Regions from separate parts of the Mus musculus genome. Here regions 2, 3 and 4 are each reported to be linked to region 1. Evidence: microRNA targets listed by miRTarBase, many of them from high-throughput screens and not tested one by one. Region 1 holds a microRNA gene; each other region holds the end of a gene's coding sequence.

What was found. Region 1 holds the annotated microRNA mmu-miR-3089-5p (UGAGUUCAGGGACAGCGUGUCU, at 3,415-3,436, opposite strand). A microRNA usually pairs through its seed, bases 2 to 8, with sites in the 3' UTR of a target mRNA and lowers its output. Matches are read on the target gene's strand: a 7mer-m8 pairs with bases 2 to 8, a 7mer-A1 pairs with bases 2 to 7 and ends in A, and an 8mer does both.
Region 2: the mRNA of Saysd1 is a reported target of mmu-miR-3089-5p. Seed matches in the 3' UTR shown: 7mer-m8 at 4,417-4,423 and 8mer at 3,285-3,292.
Region 3: the mRNA of Fam161b is a reported target of mmu-miR-3089-5p. Seed matches in the 3' UTR shown: 8mer at 1,796-1,803.
Region 4: miRTarBase lists Eno2 as a target of mmu-miR-3089-5p. Seed matches in the 3' UTR shown: 8mer at 3,640-3,647 and 7mer-A1 at 3,542-3,548.

What each region holds. Positions count from the first base shown.
Region 1 is chr2:30,718,667-30,724,657 of GRCm38, reverse strand. It overlaps Mir3089 (microRNA 3089), which reads right to left and starts at 3,448; the gene lies at 3,365-3,448. Gm14488 (a long non-coding RNA gene) reads left to right here and starts at 3,471. Exons shown (of 4, transcript XR_866106.3): 1 at 3,471-4,685; 2 at 4,788-4,952. Gm39782 (a long non-coding RNA gene) reads left to right here and starts at 875. Exons shown (of 3, transcript XR_866107.2): 1 at 875-1,035; 2 at 1,552-1,603; 3 at 1,945-3,095.
Region 2 is chr14:20,072,783-20,078,773 of GRCm38, forward strand. Saysd1 (SAYSVFN motif domain containing 1) reads right to left here. Exons shown (of 2, transcript NM_026209.1): 2 at 2,854-4,862. The coding sequence ends at 4,506. Among named protein-coding and RNA genes, the nearest start is that of Saysd1, 7.4 kb to the right of the region's middle.
Region 3 is chr12:84,341,502-84,347,492 of GRCm38, reverse strand. It overlaps Fam161b (family with sequence similarity 161, member B), which reads left to right. Exons shown (of 9, transcript NM_001358283.1): 8 at 558-706; 9 at 1,084-2,184. The coding sequence ends at 665. Zfp410 (zinc finger protein 410) reads right to left here. Exons shown (of 12, transcript NM_144833.4): 12 at 3,054-4,498. The coding sequence ends at 4,460. Among named protein-coding and RNA genes, the nearest start is that of Fam161b, 17 kb to the left of the region's middle.
Region 4 is chr6:124,756,599-124,762,589 of GRCm38, forward strand. It overlaps Eno2 (enolase 2, gamma neuronal), which reads right to left. Exons shown (of 12, transcript NM_013509.3): 11 at 5,050-5,108; 12 at 3,455-4,764. The coding sequence ends at 4,695. Among named protein-coding and RNA genes, the nearest start is that of Atn1, 3.1 kb to the left of the region's middle.

The sequences.
Region 1 (5,991 bases):
CCTCTCTGCCCAGAGTGCTGCTTCTTCATGCTAAAGGAGGCCAGGTAGATTCACACTCCTTCAGGTAAGCCTTGGTTCTAGGGCCTGTCCTTGGTTCCCAGAGGTTTCTTGTCCCTCACATGACAACACCCATGCCCTTGACTGGAGCTGTCCCACTTGGCAGTTTCCTCCAGGCCATTGTCTTAAGAGACATTTCACTCTGGTTTTCTCAGTGTGGGTTAATGGGATATATTGGGGACAGTCCAGAGGAGGAGGAAAGAAATGGCATCCTGTCTGTAAACAACACATACACAGATGCAGACACACATACACACACAGACACACATATACATACAGACACACACACAGACAGACAGACAGACACACACATGCACACACATATACATACAGACACATAGACACACATACATACACACACATACATACAGACACATAGACACACACATGCACACACATATACATACACACACATACAGACACATAGACACACACATGCACACACATATACATACATACACAGACACACACGTGCACACACACACACACACAGACAGACACACACACACATACACACACACACAGACACACCCCGAGGGTGGGCTTGCTAGGCCTTTCCGGCCTGAGGTTCTGTTACACACAACACACTGGCTCTTGTCAACAGACACATGGAATGAGGTGAAGCCAGGCATTCGCCAGTACCCTTCAGCCTGGGCCATTGGGCTCAGCCCTGGTGGGTAGGACAGTTTCAATGTTTCTATTGTGAGTCAACTTTAATTTCATATATTTTATTTTTGCACGTGAGTTTGTTTGTTTGTTTGTTTGTTTGTTTTAAGCAGGCTGACCTAGGACTTTTTGTTTTGCTTTGTTTTGAGCCAGGACCTCACTATGTAGCCCTGGATGGCCTGGAACTCCTGCTCTGCGTGCCTCTGCCTCCCGAGGCGGGGATGCCTGCCCGGTGTGGGTCAGCATGCCAAGCTTGATCGGTGCTCCTTATGTACAGAGTTGGGGATGAATACCAGGTCTTGTGTGCTCTAGGTAAGCATTCTGCCACTGAGAGAAACAACTCCTCAGCCCTTGCTTTCCTGAGATGCAGTCTCACTAGGTAGCCTAGGCTGGCTTCAAACTCGCAGCTCTCTTGCTGGAGCTGTCTCACTCTGTTTATGAGTCATTACTGGGCTCCTGACGCCAGTGTCTGGGGTTTCAGATCTTGGCTTCTCTACTTCTGTCTGCGTGACTGTGAGCAAGCTCCTCTCTGCTCTATTTCCTGACCTATAAAATGGCATTGGCTAAAAAGGGGGTGGGGCGATGATGGCTCAGTTGTGCCGGCCATGAAAGGATGAAGATCTGAGTTTGATTCCCAACACCCACTTAAAAGCCAGCTGCAGTGGTATCTATTACCCCTGGGGCTGGGGAGGCAGACAAGCAGATCCCGGGAGCTTGCTGGCCAGCCTAGCTGAATTAGTGAGCTCTGGGTTGAATGAGAGGCCCTTTCTCAAACACACGCTGAGCGTGATAGAGGAAGACTCTGACCTCTGTCTCTGGCTTCCACAGGCTTGCATCTGTGCACACGGACCCTCCTACATGCAAACCCCCACACGAACAGGTACGTACCACCCCCTCACTCACAAAAGACAAAATAAAAATAAAAACAAAAAAAGGTCTTAATCAGAGGCTCGTTTGGATTTTTCCAGCTCCCCTTGTCTCCCAGGGCCCTCTCCTAGAGGGGGTTAAGCACATTAAGATGCAAGCAGAGTCGGCTCTGCTCTGCGCTCAGAGCGGGCCAGGGCTGAGCAGATTCTGGTTGTTATTGTTGCTGTCTGTGGCACCCTGAGTGCCTGCCCCAACACCCTCTAGGAGACTCTGGGGAATTTTCCAGAGCTTCAGGGCTGAGTTGAGCACAGATCTCAGAACTCCTAATGTTTGTTTCTTGTTCTCCTTCCCCAGCCTCCTGAAAACACGGATCCCCATCAGCCTAAAGTGGTCTGGGAAATGCTTGGTCTTCCTTACACTGATTCCTGTGTCTTTTTGTTGGGCTTTGGGTTGGAAAACTCTAGAAGAACCTAGATCAAATTTTAGAATTGAACCCTGAGGGTCCAGGCTTAGCTCACCCAGCAAGGCAGCTTCCCTGGCCTATGCAGCACAGCCACCTGCCTTACGCTGAGCTCTGGCTCCTTCAGAGGCCTCTGGCATTACCAGTGCTTCTTGGACAGTGTCTTGTTTCTGAACTTTAGGCCACAAAATAGAACAGACTGGGGTGCCTTTGGACCCAAGGGTAGGAGGACAGAGCTGTACTCCCAACTGAATTAGGAGGCAGAAAGACTGGGGGGTGGGGGGTGGGCATGGCATCCACAGAGAGGCAGGGGTGTGGGAACCCTCTGAGGGTGCCGGGCAGGGGCTGTGGGCCAGGCCTGGGAGCCTCGGGGAGGCCGGCAGGCACAGAGAAGGAGGCCTCCTACCAGACACTGTCTAGACGCAGCAATTATTGTCAGCTCGGAACACCCAGGCTCTGCCTGTGCAGCTGAAAAGGAGCTTAACAAAGAGAGAGGGAGGAAGAAGAAAGCGGAGCAGAGCCGCTCTGAGCCTGCCTGCCCGCCTGCAGCCCGCGGCTCTTTCTCTGCTTGGGCTCCCCCCCTCTTTGTGTTCCACAGGCACTGTTGAGGGGACAGCTCCTCACAGCTCAGAGATGCCTGATGGGGACAGAGCAGGAGGTGCAGCTCTGGGGCCCTGGCCAACTCTTCTGAGCTAGGCTTCTCAGAGTGGATGCTGGGAAGTCTGGGTCTTGTCCACTTTAGAGGGCTCTAGCCTACACCCTTGTCATACTGATGGGGAGCCTTGGGTCACGGAATGACAGCCTGACACCTACCCTCCTCTGCTTCCAAGGAGCCAGGCACTTTGTAGATAGGGTTAGGGGTGGGGGCTCAGAGAACACAGTCAGCCGTGGGGTGGCTTCAGGTCTGTCCTTTAGATCTGGGCCTTATTCTTCTCACCCTTGGGAGGAGGTGAGAGGGCAGGGCCAGCATAGCTTTGATGGGAAGCCCACCCTCCCCCGCCAGGACAGGGTTTCTCTGTGCAGCCCTGGCTGTCTTGGAACTAACTCTGTAAACCAGGCTGACCTTGAACTCATAGAGACCCTCCTGCCTCTGCCTCTTGAGTGCTGGGATTAAAGGTGTGTGCCATCACTGCCTGGCTGGAAGACTGTTATTAGCCGTGGCAGGCCCTTCAGAGCTGGAAGATGAGCACTTTGGATTCCATATGTGTCCTAGAACCTTCCCCCTCCTCTCAGTTGCCATTCCCGAGACCCCCTTGGCGTTGGCAGCAGTGGTGCTCAGAGTGTAGGGGTGGAGCCTCAAGGCCCTGGGTTTCTGCAGCTAAAAACACAGCTCAGGATCAGCAGATGCTCAGACAGAGAAACTGAGACACGCTGTCCCTGAACTCAGTTGCAAGCCACCAGCTGTTCCCCTTATCTCCCTGTTCCAGGGCATCTGGGCAGGGGCTCTGCTCTCAGCCCAGTCTGTAGCTCTAACTCTACCCACTAGCTTAGGCTCATGGAAAGGACCTACTGTGTGCTCAACTCTGCTCTCCTCTTGCCAGCAGTTGGGGTTGGGGGCCGGGTGGGGAGTGACTTGGTGGGTGGGCACCTTCTACATCCTGTGGAGGTAATGAGCAGTCCCAACCTACTGCTGGGGAAAGGCCTGAAGCTGGTCAGGGCTCCAGAGTGACTGGGTAGGGGTAGCTGGGTCCCTCTCAATCCTTCTCAATTAGAGACAAGGCCCTCAGAGCAAGAAACATGCATACCTGCCCTTACATCACACCCGAGGCCTCTTGATCTGTCCCCAGGACCTTCCCAGGCTCCAGGCATCGGCCTGGCCTGCCCGAGGCTCAGCCCTGCTGGCCACACACTGTCTTGTCTGCTGTGTCTCCCAGTACTCAATTATAGGAACAGAACCCTCCTCTCTCCCTCTGCACCATTACCATAACAAACCTGATTCCCCTGCCTATACTGCAGACCCACCGGGATCAGCCGGTCCACCAGGATTCTAGCATATTCTGCAATGCCACTGCAGCTCCCTCAGCCCTCCCCACTGGGTCTTCCTTTCACCTGGCGCTCTGAGCCATCTCTACCAGACCCTCAAATATGCGAAGCTGCCAGCCTGCTCCTGTGAGTTGTCCCCTGCCTCCTGAACAGCACCAGCCCTCCCTGTCACATAGCCAGCCCAGACAGCTTTCTGATTCCTCCCGCATCTGCACTAGGCTGGTCTTCCACCATGGCACAAACCAAGCTTGAGTTCAGCCCCCAGTTCCTAGCCTCTGGGAGCTTTGGAGACCTGTTCTCTCTGCTCCATAAAAGCCTGCCAAACCTTCCAGAGGCAGGAATTGATAGACCACTTGGATCTGAGGCCTGAAGACTGCCAGTCCTGTCTTCCCTGGCTTCGCATTAGTTGAGTTAGTCATCCCAGTAGATCCTCATGCACCCTTCTCTAGGACACTTCTGACCCCTGCTGAGATCACACACACAGCCAGTCTGCCTAAGTCCCTGATATTTCAGCCTTCTTGGGGGCACCCAATGCATTTTTTATGGCTCGCCACGCCTGCGAGCCCTGTGGGCCAGCTGTCTCTGGCTTGTCTCACTCTGTGAACCCAGCTCCTGCTTCTGAGGTGCCTTCCCAGCCTGACACCACCTAGAGGTAGGAGAAGTGACTTGGGCCCACACCCCCCCCCCCCCCCCCCCCGTAAGTGAATCCCTCTCGGCCCAAGCACCAAGGCAACCTCTTTGTCCTCTTTCCCAGGGCCTCCATGCAGACTCCCAGGAGTCACCGTGAAGGCCAGAACAAGGCTGTGCCATTGTGCTGCCCACTGACCTGAGAGCACTCCCAGGAGCTGGAACTGCCTTGTGCCCAGTTCCTCCCTCAAGCCCCCATGCAACTAGGCCAGTCCACAAGGACAGGAGGATGGTAGGTCCAGCAGGGGTGGGTACCCCACATCTATTCCTCCTCCAGAATTGGCCCAGAGCGTTCCCCAACCCTTGCTGTGGGATATCTAAGCCTCATCTTCCTTCCTCCCTGCCCTGCCTGTCCTTTCCCTCCAAATATCTATCCCTCTCCTCTCCTCTCCTCTCCTCTCCTCTCCTCTCCTCTCCTCTCCTCTCCTCTCCTCTCCTCTCCTCTCCTCTCCTCTCCTCTCCTCTCTCTCCTCTCCTCTCCTTGTTCTCGCCTCTCCTCTCCTCTTTTTCTCTCCTCTCCTCTCTTTTCCTCGTCTTCTCTGAGTCCTCCCTGGGCCTCCTTCCTTTCTTCTTCCTGGGTTAAAAATAATCAACTTTCTGGGAAGCGGCAGTTCCCGCTGAGCCGCCCTCCCCACACACGGGAGCCCCTGAGAATAGCTTTCTGCGGCTCTCCACTGAACCCCTCCCTCCCTCCTCCCTCCTTCCCTCCGCCCCCTCCCCGCCGGCTGACTAATAAGCCGGGCAGCCGGCTCTGCCAGCTCGCTGCAAGGGCGTTAACTGCTTCGTGCCCGGGTGGCGTTCAGCATATAGCGACAACAGGAGGGTTGTAGGGCACCAGGCCACACGGAGCCGGAGCTCTGGGCCCGTAGTAGACGTTTAACTAACCCAGCTCTGCTAGGCCGAGTGGTTTGGTGAACTTTGTCATCTAACTACCGCTGCGAGCCTGCTGCTGCTGCGGCTGTTGTGTGGCTAGCTAGTTCCTAGCTTAGGAGGAAGGGGTCAGTGGGATCAGTCAGGAGAGGCACCCAAGGGTCGGGACCACGTGAAGGGTGTGACTGGCCTAGTGACTCCTTGGCCCCGGATTCTGGGAACCATTGCGACGGGGCAGAGGTCAAAGGCAAGGCAAGGCTGCCTGCTGCTCTGGGGATCCATGCAGGTACCCCACTGGGAGGGACTTTGACAATTAAGAAATTACATCTAGGGAAACTGAGGTCCAGGGGGTGTTATTCAGGCTAGGATGCATCTGAACATCTGCAGCAGTGCGTGAGGCT
Region 2 (5,991 bases), not on the chromosome of region 1:
CAAGCCCAAAAGAAGATAGCCACAGAAACATAATTCTACCTCTAACAACAAAAATAACAGGAAGTAACAATCACGTTTCCTTAATATCTCTTAACATTGATGGACTCAATCCCCCAATAGAAAGACATAGACTAACAGACTGTATATGTTAACAGGACCCAGAACTTTGCCGCATACAGGAAGTGCACCTCAATGACAAAGACAGACACTACTTCAGAGTAAAGTTTGAAAAACAATTTTCCAAGCAAATGGTCCCAAGAAACAAGCTGGAGTAGCCATTCTAATATCGAATAAAATTGACTTTCAACCAAAAGTTTATCAAAAAGGATAAAGGAGGACACTTCAGCTGGTCAAAGGAAAAATCTACCAAGACAAACTCAATTCTAAATATCTATGCTCCAAATGCAAGGGCATCCATACTCATAAAAGAAACTTTACTAAAGCTCAAAGCACACATCATACCCCACACAATAATAGTGGGAGACTTCCACACCCCACTCTCAGCAATGGATCAACAGATTGGGAAAAGGTCATTATCAACCCTACATAAGACAAAGGGCTAATGTCCAATATATACAAAGAAATCAAGAAGTTAGACTTCAGAGAATCAAATAACCCTATTTAAAAATGGGGTACAGAGCTAAACAAAGAATTTTCAACTGGAGAATATCGAATGGTTGAGAAGCACCTAAAGAAATGTTCAACATTCTTAGTCATCAGGGAAATGCAAATCAAAACAACCCTGAGATTCCACCTCATAGCAGTCAGAATGGCTAAGATCAAAAACTCAGGTGACAGCAGATACTGGCAAGGATGTGGAGAAAAAAAGGAACACTCCTCCATTGCTAGTGAGATTCCAAGCTGGTACAACCACTCTGGAAGTCAGTTTGTCAGTTCTTCAGAAAATTGGACATAGTACTACCTGAGGACCCAGCTATACCATTCCTGGGCATATACCCAGAAAATGTTCTAATATGTAATAAGGACACATTCTCCACTATGTTCATAACAGCCTTATTTATAATAGCCAGAAGCTGGAAAGAACTTAGATGTCCCTCAAAAGAGGAATGGATACAGAAAATGTGGTACATTTACACAATGGAGTACTATTCAGCTATTAAAAACAATGAATTCATGAAATTCTTAGGCAAATGGATAGAATTAGAAAATATTATCCTGAGTGAGGTAACCCAATTGCAAAAGAACACACATGGTATGCACTCACTGATAAGTGGATACTAGCCCAAAAGCTCCAAATAACCAGGATTCAATTCACAGAGCACATGAAGCTCAATAAGAAGGAAGACCAAAGTGTGGGTGCTTCTTAGGAGAACAAAATACTCACAGGAGCAAACATGGAGATAAAGTGTAGAGCAGAGACTAAAGGAAAGGCCACCCAGAGACTGTTCCACCTGGGGATTCATCCCATATACAGTTATCAAACCCAGACACTAATGTAGATGCCAAGAAGTGCATGATGACAGGAGCCTGATATAGCTGTCTCCTGAGAGGACCTGTCAAAGCCTTACAAATACTGAGGTGGATGCTCGCAGCCAACATTGGACTGAGCACGGCATCCCTAGTAAAGGAGCTAGAGAAAGGAATGAAGGAGTTGAAGGGGTTTGCAACCCCATAGAAAGAACCATACCAACCAACCAGACCCCCTAGAGCTCCCAAGGACTAAACCACCTACAAAGGAGTACACGTGGCTCCAGCTGCATATGTAATATAGCCTTGTCATGCATTAATGGGAGGAGAGGTCCTTGGTCCTATGAAGGCTCGATAGATGCCCCAGTATAGGGGAATCGAGGGCAAGGAGGTGGGAGTGGGTGGGTAAGTGGAGGAACTGGGGGGGGGGGATGGGATAGGGGGTTCCTGGGAGGGGGGAACCAGGAAAGGGGATAACATTTGAAATGTAAATAAAGAAAATATCCAATTAAAAAAAAAAGTTCTCCCAGGTAACTAATTCTTAAAGAAGTTCCTGAGCCTTGTAACTGAATTCTTCTTTGAGGTCAACAGAAACAAGCCATTTTTATTTAGGAATAAATGTGGCCCTGCCAATGGTCAGACAAGGCCAATTACTGTGACAAAGAGCAAAAACAATGTGCCTGTAAGATGCTGAAGGTGTCAGAAATAACACTCCCACATGCAACTACTACAATGACTGTGTCTCTTTCTCTGATCACTGAATTGCCCTTAGTGGCAGTATATTTAGAACTGGGGGAAGTGAAAATTCTGAGGTCAACAGGTCTAAACTCAGAAAATCAAGACTATCAAAATAAAATAAAGCTTACTGCTCTGACAAGAATAGCAAATACACAGTCCTTGCTTCTCCTCCCTGCAGGCACGTAACTGGCTCACATCTCACTCTTCCTAGAATACAAAGCCAGTACACATACCCTGTGGGAAGAGGTGAGCAAGAATGAATAGGGTCATGACTGGCAAGAGGCCTGCACATTTCCTGTCATATCCAAGTACCTAGGAGGGTAATAACAGTCCAAAAAAGCAGGTGAATTTAGATGAAAACCAAGAATCTGTTTCATAAGTAGAATGTAATAAGGGAAAACAAAAGAATTAACAATAGACCTCTATCTATCGTTTAATATTTCACAGATATTAATGTTACCTTCAGGAGCTGGGTCGATGGCTCAGTAGTTAGGAGAGGATCCAAGTTCTGTTCTCAGCATCCTCATTGGGTGGCTGACAACAGCCTATAACTCTGACTCGCCTCTGTGGACACCAGTACATACATATGCATTTACACACATGCGCACGCACGCACACACAAAGTTACCTTCATAAAGTAAGAATTAGAGCTTAACTCCGAAAGTGAAAAACCACTGAAGGAATCAGTAAGTTTTTTCAAACCTTAAGTTTGAACAAAATTAATCTTTTTATTCATCAGAATGACTCACAGAAAAAGTATGTGTGGCCCAATTCCAATGAAACTAAACTCCACTGCTGTACTGGAAGACGAAATAACACCCAAGCCAGGCCCAACAGCTGCTACCTATACAACTGCTAACTAGAGCCCACAGACAGAAACATACAGGGTTCTACGGCAATTGAAACATGAAAAGCAAGGGCCGGGAAAGTAACTCCATTGGCAGAGTGCTCACCCAAAGCATAAAACATCCCAGGTTTGGTCCCCAATATATAAACCAGAACCACAAAATGAGTCTAAGACCAGTCTGAGCTACAGGAGACCCTCTCAAAAATACCTAAAAGGGGGCTGGTGAGATGCCTCAGCGGTTAAGAGCACCGATTGCTCTTCTTGAAGGTCCTGAGTTCAAATCCCAGCAACCACATGGTGGCTCACAACCATCGGTAATGAGATCTGATGCCCTCTTCTGGTGTGTCTGAGACAGCTACAGTGTACTTACATATAATAAATAAATCTTTTTTAAAAATACCTAAAAGAAAGAGACAAAACCCAAGCAGTAAAACTAGAATCCCGTCTCCTAGCCCTTCCCTCTGCACATACTCAAGAATTTCTCTTGATGTACCAATCATAAATAACCTCTTATCAAATTTCTTCCAGGGCTGGGAAGATGGCTCAGCAGTTAAGAGCAGGCTGCTCTTGCAGATGAGCTGGTTACCAGAACCCACCACCATACAGAACTCCAATTCCAGGCGATCTGACATCCTCAGGCACATGGTACACACATACATATGTAGACAGTCATACAAATAAAGTATTTTTTATCTCCACTATTGACTTTGTCCTATTGAAACTTTTTCTCTTCTCTTAGGTTTCCTGCCTAAGTAGGGACAGGGTTAAGGGGAAAATGAAAGATGGTCACAGGTAGTATATGGGGACCTGCTTATAGAATCTTAAAGACATTTTATATTTCAATAGCACTGATGATGGAAAAGAGGAGAAACAAGACAAAAACAAACAAAAATTTCTAAACCTTACAACCTAAACCTTTTGAGAAAATAATTCTGAAAATATTTTTTTGAAGGTTAGAGAGATGGCTCAGTGGTTGAGAGCATTTGTTGCTCTCGCAGAAGACTGAGGTTCAGTTCCCAGCATGCACATGGTGGCTTACAACCATCCATAACTCAGTTCCAGAGGATCTGATGCTCTCTTTGGCGCTCTGAGGGTTCCAGGCACACACATGGTATATCTATATACATTTGGACAAAACATTCACACATTTAAGGTGGGGGCAGACCAGTTTCCCTGGCCTGGAACTTAGCTATGTAAATATTAAAATATTTAAAAGGAGCCCCAATGTGCCTACTCCTCCACCAAATCACTCAGTAAACCAAAGAACCTCACAGTGTATCTCTAGCATGCCAGCATCACCACTCCAATAATGAGACAAACCAGCCTCCTTCTTTTATGGCTTTTATATACAGCACCAGCCCCACCCTGAGTGTCCTTTAGAGAAATTCACCTAAATCAAAGTGGAGTTCAAAGATGAAACTGCAGCAGGTCAGGGGGAAAGTGGAGGACATGACCACCCTGCAAGCTGTCCTTTGTCCTCTAAAGTCCACGTTCAAGGATAGGAGGAACAGCTGGGGCTGGTCCTACTTCCCTGAGGGGGTCTGAGCTGTAACTCTTGCTCCAGCTGCTCAGCAGTCAGCGTGCCCTGGATGGCTTCACAGCCCGGGTTGAACACAGAGTAGGCGCTCTTCTCCCCTTCTTTCTTCTCCTCGGGACCCCGAGTCCCTACATACATCCAATAGAACATGGACAGGACAAAATAAGCCAGACCAAATTCCAGTTCCACAAACAGTCCCAGCAGGACCAACCAGAGGAGAACCTTCAAGAAGGTGATGTTAGTCAGGAAAGACTGGCGGCAGGAGGAAGGCAGAGGGACTGCTGTGCTCTCAGGGAGCTGCTGGCCTGCTTCCTAAAACACAGAAACAAACAGAAGTAAGAACGGGGGAGCCTAAGCCGAGATTACTGGACTGTTAGCCACACCTAATGTGTACCCCAGCAGAACCTACGCAGGGGCTGATAATGCAGCAGCGGCAGCACTTGTCTCCCACACAGCCGTGGGCAACACACGTTTGCTGATTTGATGAGATGGACTGAAACATCCGAGGTAACGCAGTCCTAAAATGGAGACCATACCCAAAACAGAAACAAAAATCCCTTCCACACACTTACAGAGAAAAAAAAAATCAGTGATATGCCATTGCCCACCCTATCCTGGTCTTCACTGATCATCCCCAGGCCTGGGATGCATCTTCTAACTAGACCCCTTGCCTCCTATCTCTCTCTAGTCTCCAAGCCAGCCTGTGTACGACTGACTGCTCAATGAGTTCTCTAAATTGCCATCACCTTGCAACACACACATCTTCAATAAAATCCCATTGCCTGCATGTTAAAATCCAGCGTTCTTACATGGGAAGACAGTGCCAGATGCTAAGGGAATCCTTTGGTGTATAGGTGACTATAGGAGCTTTGCCTGATCTCCATTATTTTCTAAGTTTTTTTTTTTTAATGTTTTTGCTTGTTCCTTTGTTTCTTTTTATGTGCACTGGTGTTTTGCCTACATGTCTGGGTGAGAGTGTCAGATCTTGAAGTCACAGACAATTGTGAGCTACCATGTGGGTACTGGGTCCTCTGGAAGAGCATTCAGTGTTAACCACTGAGCCATCTCTCAAGCCTCTATTTCCCAAGTTGTTAAGAGTCTCTTTTTGACACAGAGCAAGAAATGGATTATATACTGTAGCCTGGTACATGGGTGCAATGGAAACAAAGTCAGCTTTGCCTGCCTGGAAAAGTCCTCTTACATTCCAAATTATTCTTCAACCACTTTTAAGGGGAACAGGATCTTATGTTGATTGTACTGTCCAAGAAAGGTCATGACTTGTGTCTTTAAGAACAAGAGCCTAAAGATTTCCTTCCCTTTTTATTTAACTCAGTGCCTTGGGGGGGACAGTAGGGCAAAGGGTTGGGAGATGGGAAGAGTTATGGTAAACAAACTGTCAGAGGGGACAAACATGGGGGCATATATGGAAATTCCTCTGACT
Region 3 (5,991 bases), not on the chromosome of region 1:
GTTTAGTGTGGTATCTGGCTCTGTGGTTCACTGTAGGCATGAGTTCCATCTCAGAGCATGTGGCATCCCTAGGTACTAATGGCTCTCCTCCTCCTCCAGGCGGCCCTGCCCCCTGCTGGACTGTCCGGAACATACTTATGGTCCACTCCTTTAGGTCCCCTTTTGTAGAAAACACAAAGTAGCCTGTGGTTTTGTTCTTAGATATGTAAAACAAGGTAGCCTTCTAGCTACTTACAGACCACACTCCTCTTGCTAAGCATTTGTGATATGTTAGTCTTCCTGAGGATGGTTTGGATGCTTTTCAAGGGCGTGCCTCTCAAATTAATTAGGAGCTGACACCTCCTAGAAGTGTTAGAGATATGAAATTGTATTTGTACCTGTATGTGAACAAGATCCCCATGGGACTCATTTTATAAACTGTGGCTAACAATAAGGCTCTAAGTCATTCCTGTGCCAGCTTTGTCCAGCACTAAAGGTGTGGGTGGTGGAAAGGGCAATATTTTAAAGACGGATTCCCCAAGTAACTCAGAGTCATACTTGTCACTTCCACTCCACAGGCCCTCGCCAGGAAAGAAGCAGAAGAGCGCTATAGGGACGCCCTGAAGCAGGCCGGCCTGGAGGAGGAGTTTGTGAGAACCAAGAGTCAAGGCACAGAGGCAGTGTGATGAAGAGAAAGCCAAAGTCAAGGAATCTCACCGGTTAAGAGGTATTGGTGTTATCCCTAAGGACGCGACCAGGAGGGAACGTAGAGAAGTTGCTCACGTGAGATAACAGCCCTGCACTTACACAAAAGCGCATCCACAAGCCCCTGAGCAACACTGTCTATGTGAGGCGATGGCTGCTCGGCTGCCATCCCTGCTCCTTACAGCTGACACCCCAGCATCACCTCTTTCATAACTGATGTATCATAAGGCAAGGAGAGAAAAGCAGAGTGCTGCTGTTATTTCCAGTTTTATTAAGTCCAAGTAATTCCTGTTTTCTCTTTAAAATTCTATTCTACCAAAAAATATAATAATAATGAAAATGTTGGAACCATTCTTAAACCTCACAGATCCTTTCCATTTAAAATACTGTTTTTTTCAGCAACTATGAAGCTACAAAACTCAGCATCCGAGGTTGACGGCTCAATTTAGAAGACTTTACAACTGCCTGCTGGCCCCAGGCTGGAACAGCAATGGCTAACCAATCTGCTTGTTGAAATAGGTCACTCACCATATCACATCAGAGCACCAAGCAACCAAGTGTGGAGGAGCTTGAGTTTAGAGTCATCTGTTAGGGTTTGGGAGAACAGAACAGAACTTCAGAGATCAAAGTGGATCCGAGGGTAGATGTACCTTAGCCCAGAGTAAAAGGCTCTTGCTTTGCACTTTACACTTAGAAGTAGGTATAGAAAATACAAGTAGAGCCCACATCTATCAAGTAGGTATAAGAGGAACAGAGGTAAGAAAATAGGTGGCAATAAGGAAACAGAAATCCAGGACAGCCAGACTAAATACATTCTCATCGGCTTCCAGTAACCTGCAATCTTAGCAGCTAAACATAGGAATACTGTGTGTGAAATAAAACATGATTCTCAGCCCACATCTGCAACCTTAAGTACAGGCCTTATCATTAGCATCTGACACACTCGGACAAGTCAGTTCTTATTGTTTGTAGGATTAATTTATAAGCTTTTTTTTAAAAAAGGATTTATTTATTTTCTATGAATACACTGTAGCCATCTTCAGACAAATCTAGAAGAGGGCATCATATCCCATAACAGATGGTTGTGAGCCACCATGTGGTTTCTGGGATTTGAACTCAGGACCTCTGGAAGAGCAGTCAGTGCTCTTAACCACTGAGCCATCTCTCCAGCCCCCTATAGGATGTTTTCTTCCTCACCCTCTTGTAACACCCCTCTTCAGGTTGTTGACAAACAAAAATGTTTCCATTTATTGCCAAATGGTCTCTAGAGAGCAAAAATGTCCCAGATTGGGAAGCACTCCTGTAGAAAGCACAGACTGGTAATTTTAGAAAAACAATTGCTAGGAACTTGTCTCCACACTAGAGGATAATTATGCAAGTCGATAGCAAATGCAGAGCGGCAGTTCTTTTCTACTGTTCTCTAAAGACACTATTCGAATACGTATGTCAGCACAGAGTTCACTTTAAATAAAACTTAACTGATTTTGTACTCATAGGTGATGTTTGAGATATTTTTTTTTCTGGTCAATAATTGTGTTGTATGCAGATGATAATGGGCTAAAAGAAGTACATTTCTCATGTTTAACCATTTCTGGAACAAATCCAAATTATCCCTTACGACTGCTATCTTAGAAGACTTACAAACTGTTTTAGTGCTGGGTCTGACACATCTGGGCTTGCCAGTCTTTGCTTGCTTTCCACTTTTTCTGAGACAGGGTTTCTCTGTGTAGCCCTTACTGCCCTGTATTACTTTATATGTACACCAGGCTGGCCTCAAACTCAAGAGATCTGCTGCCTCTGCCTCCTGAGTGCTAAGGCGTGTGTCACCACCACTACCAGCTTAGGTTTGCCAGCTCTAAACAAAAAACACTGCTGCTGCATTTTCTAAGGCTCCTCAGTTCAGTTCCGTCTACACAGCTAAAGGTACATCAGCACCTACTTTATGGCACTAGTGCTTTTCCTTATTTTTAAATTATGTACATGTGCCAGGTGGTGGTGGCTCGCACCTTTAATCCCAGCACTCGGGAGGCAGAGGCAGGTGGATTTCTGAGTTCAAGGCCAGCCTGGTCTACAGAGTGAGTTCCAGGACAGCCAGGGCTACACAGAGAAACCCTGTCTCAAAAAAAAAAAAAAAAAAAAAAAAACCAAAACAAACAAACAAAAAATTATGTACATGTTGTGTGTGTTAAGTACCCAGAACCCCGCTTTGTATGTGTCCCTTGGAGCTGGGTGACAGGGTGCTGCGAGCTGTGTGATGTGGACTGAGGTGGAATGCTCTGGAATAGCAGCAGGTGCTCTTTACTAAGCCATCTAGCTCTCCAGCCCAGAAAGTATGCTTTCCTTTTTTTTTTCTTTCTTTTTTTTGTTTTGAGACAAATTCTTAATGTATAGCCCTTGTTGATCTAGAACTTCCTATATACATCAGGCTGGCATCAAATCCAAGAAATTTGTTTGTTCCCTGCATGCTGGGGGACCTGGCTCATCAGGGTCTCCCTTAATTTTTTTAACACAGTGTCTTGCTGTGTAGAACTTGTTATGTGTCAAGGCGGGTCTCATAGTCCTGTGATCTGCCTGCCTCAGCCCCTGAGTCCTGGGACTAGAGGCATAAGCTACTATCCTATCCTTAGCCTCCTTTCTCTATTTAATATTCTATCTTAAAAGAGAAAGACTGGATAAACTTCTTGACCTCTAAGAACACATCTGTTACGAAGAAGTGGTGGTGTGTGTACGCCTTTTGTTCCAGCACTCAGGAGGCAGAGTTCAAGGCCAGCCTGGAATACAGAATGAGTTCCAGGACAGCCAAAGCTACACAAAGAAACTTTGTCTTGAAAAAAACCCAAACCAAACCAACAACAAAAATGCCCCACATCTGTCTAAAACAGCGGTTCTCAACCTATCACATATCAGATATCCTATATATCAGATATTTACATTATGATTTGTAACAGTAGCAAAATTACAGTTATGAAGTAGCAATGAAAATCATCTTATGGTTGGGGGTCACCACAACATGAGAAACTGCATTAAAGGGTGGCAGCATTGAGAAGGTTAAGAATCACCAATCTAAAACAAGAGCCAAAGAGGTGACTAGGTTGTTTTGTTTATTTAAAAGGAAAACAAACTCTAGATCATGTGGTTTTTAACTTAAAAAAAAACAACAACAACAAATAAAACCCCCTGATAACATGCTATTTTAAGTCCCATAAACAAAACAAAAAAATGACCAAGTCAAAGTGTACAGGGTAAGTTGGTACCTCAGCCTGGGCCAAGGAGAGATTCAAGTAATTTAATTTTTACAGCCCAAAGGCTAAGTCTTACTCAGGTTGCTAAAGGGAGAGTGCAATGCTACAGTGTAATTGGCACCCCTCCCTTCTTCAAAGCAACAAGGCATCTTGAAAACTCAGTGTTCTGGTTGGAAGCAGGACATAATTCAACCATATGGAAAGATAGCTGGGCCTAGGGTGAAAACTCTTCAAAGGAAAACCTTGACAGTCACAATGAAAATCTTCAGCCAACACATAATTAAACCTGCTCTTGGCAAGTCTACTCCCAAACGCTGCGCTGAGGAGAGAGGCGGCACAGGTATCCAGCCCACGGCCACTGCTTCACTCTTGGACTGCATCGGTGGAGGTTGAAGAGAGCCCTCAGACAACAGAGGCAAGGCAAGGTCTTGGTCCTTCAGACTCCTTTTAGTTCTGGCAGATTATGAGCCTTTGGATCTGTTCCCATCATGCACTCTGGGATCAGACAACAGCATCTCCAGGAGTCAGCACACTCATGTCTGTCTTTCAGTTAAATCTCCTTGGTTTAGTAACTATAAAATTGGAAATGAATAGAGACTAGGTTACAGATGTATTACAGAAGCAACGTGGGTGCTGGGAATTAAACTTATGTTCTCTGGAAGAGCAGCCAGTGCTCTGACCTTTACTACCGAGCCATCTTCCCAGCCCCACAAAGCTTGCTTTTATTTTTGTTGTTTTGTGAGACAAGGACTCTGTGTCCTGGAACTCGCTGTGAATACCAGGCAGGCTGGTCTCGAACTCAAGTGATCCATCTGCCTTTCATTCCTGAGTGCTGGGATTAATGGTGTGCACTACCACATTAATATGGCAATTGAATAACTGAATCTCTAGGCTCAGTGATTGAGATCACACCCGATGCTGGGATCAGAGACGTGTGAGACCACGCCTGGCTATCTGACAAGGGTTCTGGTGAGCAACTGAGTAAGTCCTCATGCTTATACGGCAAGCATCTGACCAAATGAGCTATTTCTCCACTTGCACCAGAAAACAGGCAGAGCATGCCAATAAGCAACAGTCATGTGTTCCCTCCACCAGGACCACAACCATGGCTTGGCTGTTTTGATTCTGTTTTCAGGGTCAGAGCCAAGACCATACAGTTGGAAGCACTCAGAATCAATCTAAATCTCTTCCTTGATTGGGGTGTTCTTAGCCAACAAGCAATTGAACATGGTCCTTTAGCTCAGGTGATTCATCCTGTTATCTCTAGACTCAAGACCACAGCAGAAGAAATGACACCTTTTTTTTTTGAACAGGGAAAGTTTCAAATAAAAATTTTTTGCCTTTTCTTTTTTCCTTAGTTGTTTTTGTTGTTGAGACCCAGTCTCATTATGACTCCGAGGCTGGCCTGGCACTCATAACTCTTCATGTCTTAGTTGTGAGATTATATGCCTATGTCAACACACCTGCTTTAGAGAACTGTTTTTGTTTGTGTGTTTCAGGGTTTTTTGTTGTTGTTGTTGTTTTTGTTTTTTGTTTGTTTGTTTGTTTTGAGACAGTTTTTTTACGTGTAGCCTTGGATGTCCTGGAACTCTCTTGCAGACCAAGCTGGCCTTGAACTCACAAAAATGGGCCTGCCTCCCAAATGCTGGAATTAAAGGCGTGCATCACCACTGCCTCACAAAAAATGTTTATATTTGCATGGATTATTAGCATGTCAGTCATATATTCCAACCATACCCTAACGCTGATTGGCTTTTCTTGTACTATGAACCCAACCCCCTCTTCTTTCCAAATATATTGTGCCCCATCTATTTCCATGGATGTCTGTTTTTGTTTTATAATTTACCTGTAACCTAGGCTGGCCTTGTACTTGTAATGCCCTTATTTCAACTGGGGATGCTAGGACTACAGGCTTGAGGCATGACACCAGCTTAATCTCCCCATTTTTAAAGCATCTTTTACATCTAGCACATTTTAAAAAAAGATGGTGTGTAAATGTGTGTGCGTGTGTACAGGAACATGTATATACATATCTGTGTGGAGGCCACTTTGCACCAGTGAATGC
Region 4 (5,991 bases), not on the chromosome of region 1:
GACCCTCCCGCCGCTGGTGCCGCGCGCCCCTAGCCCGCCCCGAGGCCTGCCACCCCGAAACGCGTCCTGGCCCGAGGCCCCGGTCGGGCGCGGGGCTGCGGGCGGACGGACAGGCTGGGCGGCGCGTCCGGCGACTCGCACAGGAAAGCGGACGGCGGAGGGAGGGCGCTCGGGAGAGGGGGATGGGAGCAGGGAGGAAGAGGGAGAAGGAGGGAGCGCGGAGGAACGGAGGAGAGAGAGGGGCCCGGAGGAGACGCGAGGGAGGGAGCGCGCGGCAGTCGGGGGGCGGAGGATCGGGGAAGGGGAGGCGCCGGGCGAGTTGGCCGAAGCCGGCCGGGGCGCAGAGAGAGAGGGCCTCGCTGCGCAGAGCGTGGGGAGCTCGCGGGCCCCGCGCGGGAGAGGGCTGGGTGGGAGGGGCTGTGGACTGCGAAGGCAGACCTGGGGAGGCTGGAGAAGTTTGGGGACAAGAGGGGCTGTGGCAGGGGTGAAGTAGGTGGAGTTTGGGGAATTATGAAGTAGAGATTTGGATAATGGGACTGTATTGGAAAGATGGAGAGGAAGGGCCAGAAGTAGAGGCTGGAGGGGTTTAGGAGCTATTTTGGAGAGCCTACGATGGAAGTTTGTGGACCTGGGCGGGAAAGGATGAAGACGTACTAGGAGAATGGTGTTTCTGGAAGAGATAAGCGTTTAAGGCAGTGATTGGTGTTGAGAAGAATGCAAACCACAAGAATTTGGGAATGATGAAGGAAAGCTGGAGGCAAGTCCGGAGATCCCTCTGTGGGAGAGAAGGCATGAGAAGTCTCAGAAGAGGGGTGGAGGGCAGAGGATGCCTATTCTAGAGGGAGACTGGGGTGGGCTGGGTTGGTAAACATGAATGTGGGGACTTCCAATCGAACTAAGAACTATTTCCTTTGGCAAATAAAGTGGAGGAGAATGAATTAGAGAGGTCTGGAAGGAAACACAAGATAAATAGGGCTTTTGTGGCAACGTGGTGGGAGGGCCAGTGATGGGAAAAGAGAGGAGCTAGAGACGGAGGGAGAACCCTGGAGGAGTGACAGACTGGGGTCCAGGCCCTAGTGTGGAAGAGGTAACTAAGAGGTGGCACTTCACTTTTGGGCCCTTCATTTTCTCGAGGTTCCTGAACTAGACCTTCTCAAGTCTGAAGTCATTACTAGTAGCATCTTTGGTCATGGTCACAGAAGGGATGAAGTGGGGGATTAGGTGGAAAGGACCTACATACATTTTAGGGTGCCCAGGTTCCCCATAACAATTGTAATATGGAAGTAGTCCCCAGCACAGACTACAGCATGCTCCTCCCAACTCTTCTCCAGTCAGCGTGCCAGCCATGCCCAACCTACAGCCATGAAGTCAGCACCCCCATCACTCCAGTGGTGCCTTCTTCTGGGCTCCTTCTCTGGCCCCAAACCAGCAGCAACATCTCTCAGGACAAAGGACACTAGAGACAGGGTGATTTTTGGCAGCTGAAATTGGGAAGGCTAGAGAAAGGGAGGGAGGCAGGCTGGGAGCCCGGAAGAGCTGGAGCTGGAGTCTGGATTGGGAGCCCTTAGTAGTTCACCAGATTTGGAGGTGGGGGTAGAGAGCTTGTAGGGGGCCAGCCTAGCTCAGACCTAGTGGGTGGAGTGGGGGACACTGAGTGGGCAAACTGCCTTTGTGGAAGGGAGGAGAACGGCTAGCCTAGTAGCCACCCAGTAGGTCTTACACCACCATTCCTTAGGCCAGATTCAGCCAAGCTCTTGAACTTACCCAAAAGCTCTACACAGATTCCAAAGCACTAGGGAGACCAAGCAAGAATGCTTGGCTCCTCTAGGAACAAATATCCCATCACCCCACTGTGAAGTCCCTTGCCTCTGCAGGGCCTCACTTTACCCCCATACCCATTTGCTTGTCCCCTTCCAGGGCCTCCCAGAGACCAGGTCCTCTCCTGTGTACCCTTCACGTCTTTTTCTCTGTGCTCTAAGATAGACCTAGTTCCTTCCCTGTACCAACTAATTTTGCTCTGAGACTCCTCCTCCCTCCCCCCTCTCCCCATAGCATTTCCTCTCTTTCCTTTAGTTTCCCACTAGGCCTGGCCTAGGACCTTTCCAATCCTTTCCAGACTCAACCTCTACCCTTGTTTAGCCGCTAAGGCAACAGCCAAGATGGTAACTTATCTAAGCCTAAAAGAAAAATGTAGGCCTAGGGAAGGACAAGGCATGGAACTAGGAAAAGAAGCCAGCACTACACCTTCCAGTTCCTCTGGTACCCAAGACCAGGCTCACAGCTCAGCTGCTGGGAGCATTAAATATACACCCCACCCCTATCCTTCACCCCAGCTCCCTCTCTGGCCCCAGCCCCCTACAATCACCTGGTCTCCAGGCAATGGCACAAAAGGAAAGTAGAGAGGGGCCTTGGAGGCCCAAGCAGAGCTAGCTGTAACCCAATCCAACCTGGTACCAGAAGGGGGCTGGGAATGTTGTCAGAAAAAGGCACCTAGCTAGGATGGAGGAAAGAAAAGACAAGGGTTAGGAATGGTGGCTACAGCCACAATAGCCCTGACCAAAGCCTAGGAGTTTCTGAGAGAGCAGCCCCAGAGAAGTGTAGCGAGCCCCCGGGGCCATATAGGGGTGCTGGAAGGGGGAAAAAAAACGAGGAGCTTACATAGGAATTCAAGGGCACAGGGAAGGAGAGGGAGCAAGAAGTTCTTTGAACTGAAAATAGCTGGGGGATACAAGAAGATGGGTGGGGAGATGTGGCTCCTGGCTTCACCAGTGCAAGTTTCTGTTAGCCCTAAAGGGAGAAGGAAGTCTGAGGGAGCCTGGGACCAGAACTTGGGAGGATCCGCGGGAGGAGGGCAGAGGGTGCAACCTTGAAATTCTTCCCACCCCAACCTCACCTTGGCGTCTAGTAAGGTGTCCTGCAGAACTTGGGCTCCCCCTAATGGCCACAGCTATTCATGGGCAGATGCTGCCTGCAAGCGTGAGCCCTAGTACCCTAAGGATAGTAATGTTAGGGGGATTGTCCCCCAAGGCGGGCTGGGTGCTTCAACCTCACAGCCTCACTGGAGCTGAAAGGTTAGAGGGCCTCTGTCTACACACTGATATCCTCTCAGTCTGGCTAACGGGGAGGCTGGAGAGCACTTCAGGTGTGGCATCCATTTTACTGGAGAAGTCGGATTCCCAAGCTCCTGGTACCCGTAATATTTCTTCTCTCCCTTTTTTCTTTGGTTCTGTATTCCAAAGGAATTGGTGGCCATGATACTCTCATTTCAAAGCCATCCAGAATTCTGTTGAGGACCAGTACAGGGGCGCTTTAGTTATTGGTCTACTGCTTTGTTCCTACTTCGGTCCAAGACTTTAGGAACCAGAAACGCTTTGTTCCTCACCCCAGATACACTCAATCCCTGATGTTTGAGTAACTCCAGTACCACAGGTTAAGAATCCTTAGTTCAGCCAAGTGTGGTGGTACAAGCTTTTAATCCCAGCACTCGGGAGGCAGAAGCAGGCGGATCTCTGTAAACTTGGAGCCAGCCTGGTCTACAGAGTGAGTTCCAGGACAGCCAGGGCTACACGTAGAAACCCTGTCTTGGGAAACAAAAACCCCACGGATCCCACATCACCAGCAATGCTGCAAACTTGGTCATGAGTTCAGTGGCTTGCCGCTTTTTGAGCCCTCCCCTGATCTGCTACCTAGGATCGCCAATATCCAGTCGTTTCTCTTCGTCCTCTCACATGGAGCAGAGAGTAAGAGTCCTCAGACAAGGGGTGGTGCGCTGTGATTCAGACTTTAATGGTGGTGGTCATTTCAAAGCCACGGAGATGGTGGCAACTGTGGGACATGGCGCAGGGGAGTGAGGCAGCGCTCTGGTGCAGCCGGAGAAAGACGGAGGAGCCTAGGGCTGGGGAGAGGGTTAGAGGAGAAAAGCCTCCCCAGGTCCACAGCCCCATTCTGTAAAGTTCCGAGCTTCGGTTAGTGCACCGAATGAAGCAATTGCTAAGGCCCTTTTCTGTTCCCCTTCCCATGCTAGCAAAATCCCCATCCTGGGTCATCTTGGAATGAAGCCACATGGAATAGGGGTGCCTAGTCCTGTCAAGTTAGGTCACTTTCAGACTGGAGAGTTACAGGAGATGGCTGACTGACCAGCTGAGAAATAAATAAATAAATAAATAAATAAATAAATAAATAAATAAATAAGCAAACAAACAAACTGTGCTTGTGTATGTAAACACATACACTAAAGCCTCAACCAAGCATGACCACACATCCAGCACTCCCCAAACTCCAGTTCTATGCATAGTTCAAGGCTTATACACACCATGGTAAGCACTGAAACACTCATGCCCGTGACCCCACTTTAAACACCCCAACACACCAATCCTGAAGCTCCTGTCAGACACTGAGGATTCTTCTGTGGACCCCCTTCTAATCTTCATAATTTTTTTTTAAAGAGAAGAGAGAATAGAAGGGAAAGTGGGAAGACTGAATCCCCCCAAAAATGGGGCCCAGAGAGGAGGAAGAGCAGAGAGAGCAAGGGGGGTTGTGGAAGCCAAGAACAGCAGGAGCGGTGAGTCGAGGTGTTCTGGGTGACTTGGGGCTCAGGGTATCAGAGTGACTATGGCAGGTCAGGGCAGCAAGAAAGAGGCTCCAGGAGAATGAGATGTTCCCGCGTTCAGGCAAGCGGGGTTGGGGGAAGGGGATCACAGCACACTGGGATTTCGGAAATTATGTCCCGCGAAGCGAGCTTCGTCCCCCAGCTCTTCCTCAATTCTGACAGATGATCCGGAAGGGGGACAGTCAGGGGAGAAGACGGGATCAGCCTTTCTCCCTGAGTCCCTCAATGCTCCCCCTTTGAGGGCTGCCCCAAGGTGAACGGTCCCTGGCTTTCGTGGTCAGTTAGTGATCTGTCAATCGGACCATCCTTGAACCCACTTAGCAAAACTTTTCTTGGCATCAACTGCTATCCAGGTCCTGGATGCAGGAGGTGGAATGGTGGCCTAATGGGGCGTTTAGACCCCGGGTTTCGGGTTCTTGTTCTTCGGGGACCCTCCTCACCTCATGAGCTGGTTGTACTTCGCCAGACGTTCAGATCTGCATGGGGCGCCAGTCTTGATCTGAAACATTCCAGGAGATAGGCAGCTTAAGGATTTCCTTCGCCTGATAGGACACCCCTATGCCCCACCCCTGCCACACACACATACATACATTTTTTTTTGAGACACTTTTATGAAGGTTGTCCTCTAAAGGGACAGGTTAGCCTAGAACTCCTCATCCTCCTGCCTCTGCTTCCCGAGTGTGGAGACAAAAGGCATGTATCCCCAAGTCCAGGGCTTTTGGTTTGTTTTGAGACAGAGTTTTACTATGTAGCGAACTCCCTACATAGACTAAGCTGGTATTGAACTTACAGAGATCCTCCTGCCTCTGGCTCCTGGGTGCTGGGACTAAAGGCGTGCAATGTCATATCCTACTCCCCCCCCCCTTTTTTTTTAAATGGAACCCAGGGTCTTGCACGTACTAGGCAAGTACTCTATAAATGAGCTGAACCTCCAACTCTGAAACATCTGTATTTGTACTAATTAATTAATTAATTATAAAAATTAATGCTTTAAGTTGTGTCTGTGTACACGTCTGTGGATCTGCTCATGCCACGGTGTGCATGTGGAGGCCAGAGGACAACTGGTGGGAGTTGGTTCTCTCCTAACCCGTGGGTCCCACAAATCAGACTAAAGCTGAGAGTCAGGCTTAGGACTGGGCTGAGCCATCTCACCAGCCCAGAACTTCTACTCTTTTTACTATTTACTAAGACAGAGTCCCTCGGTGTAGCCCTGGGTTTCCTGCTATACTCACTATACAAACCAAACTGGCCTTAAACTCACAGAGATCCACCTGCCTCTGCCTCCTGAGTGCTGGTATTAAAGGCGTGTGCCACTATGCCTGGCCAGACTTCTACTCTCAAACTTCTCTGACTCTCAAATTTTCGGCAGGACAATAACTACC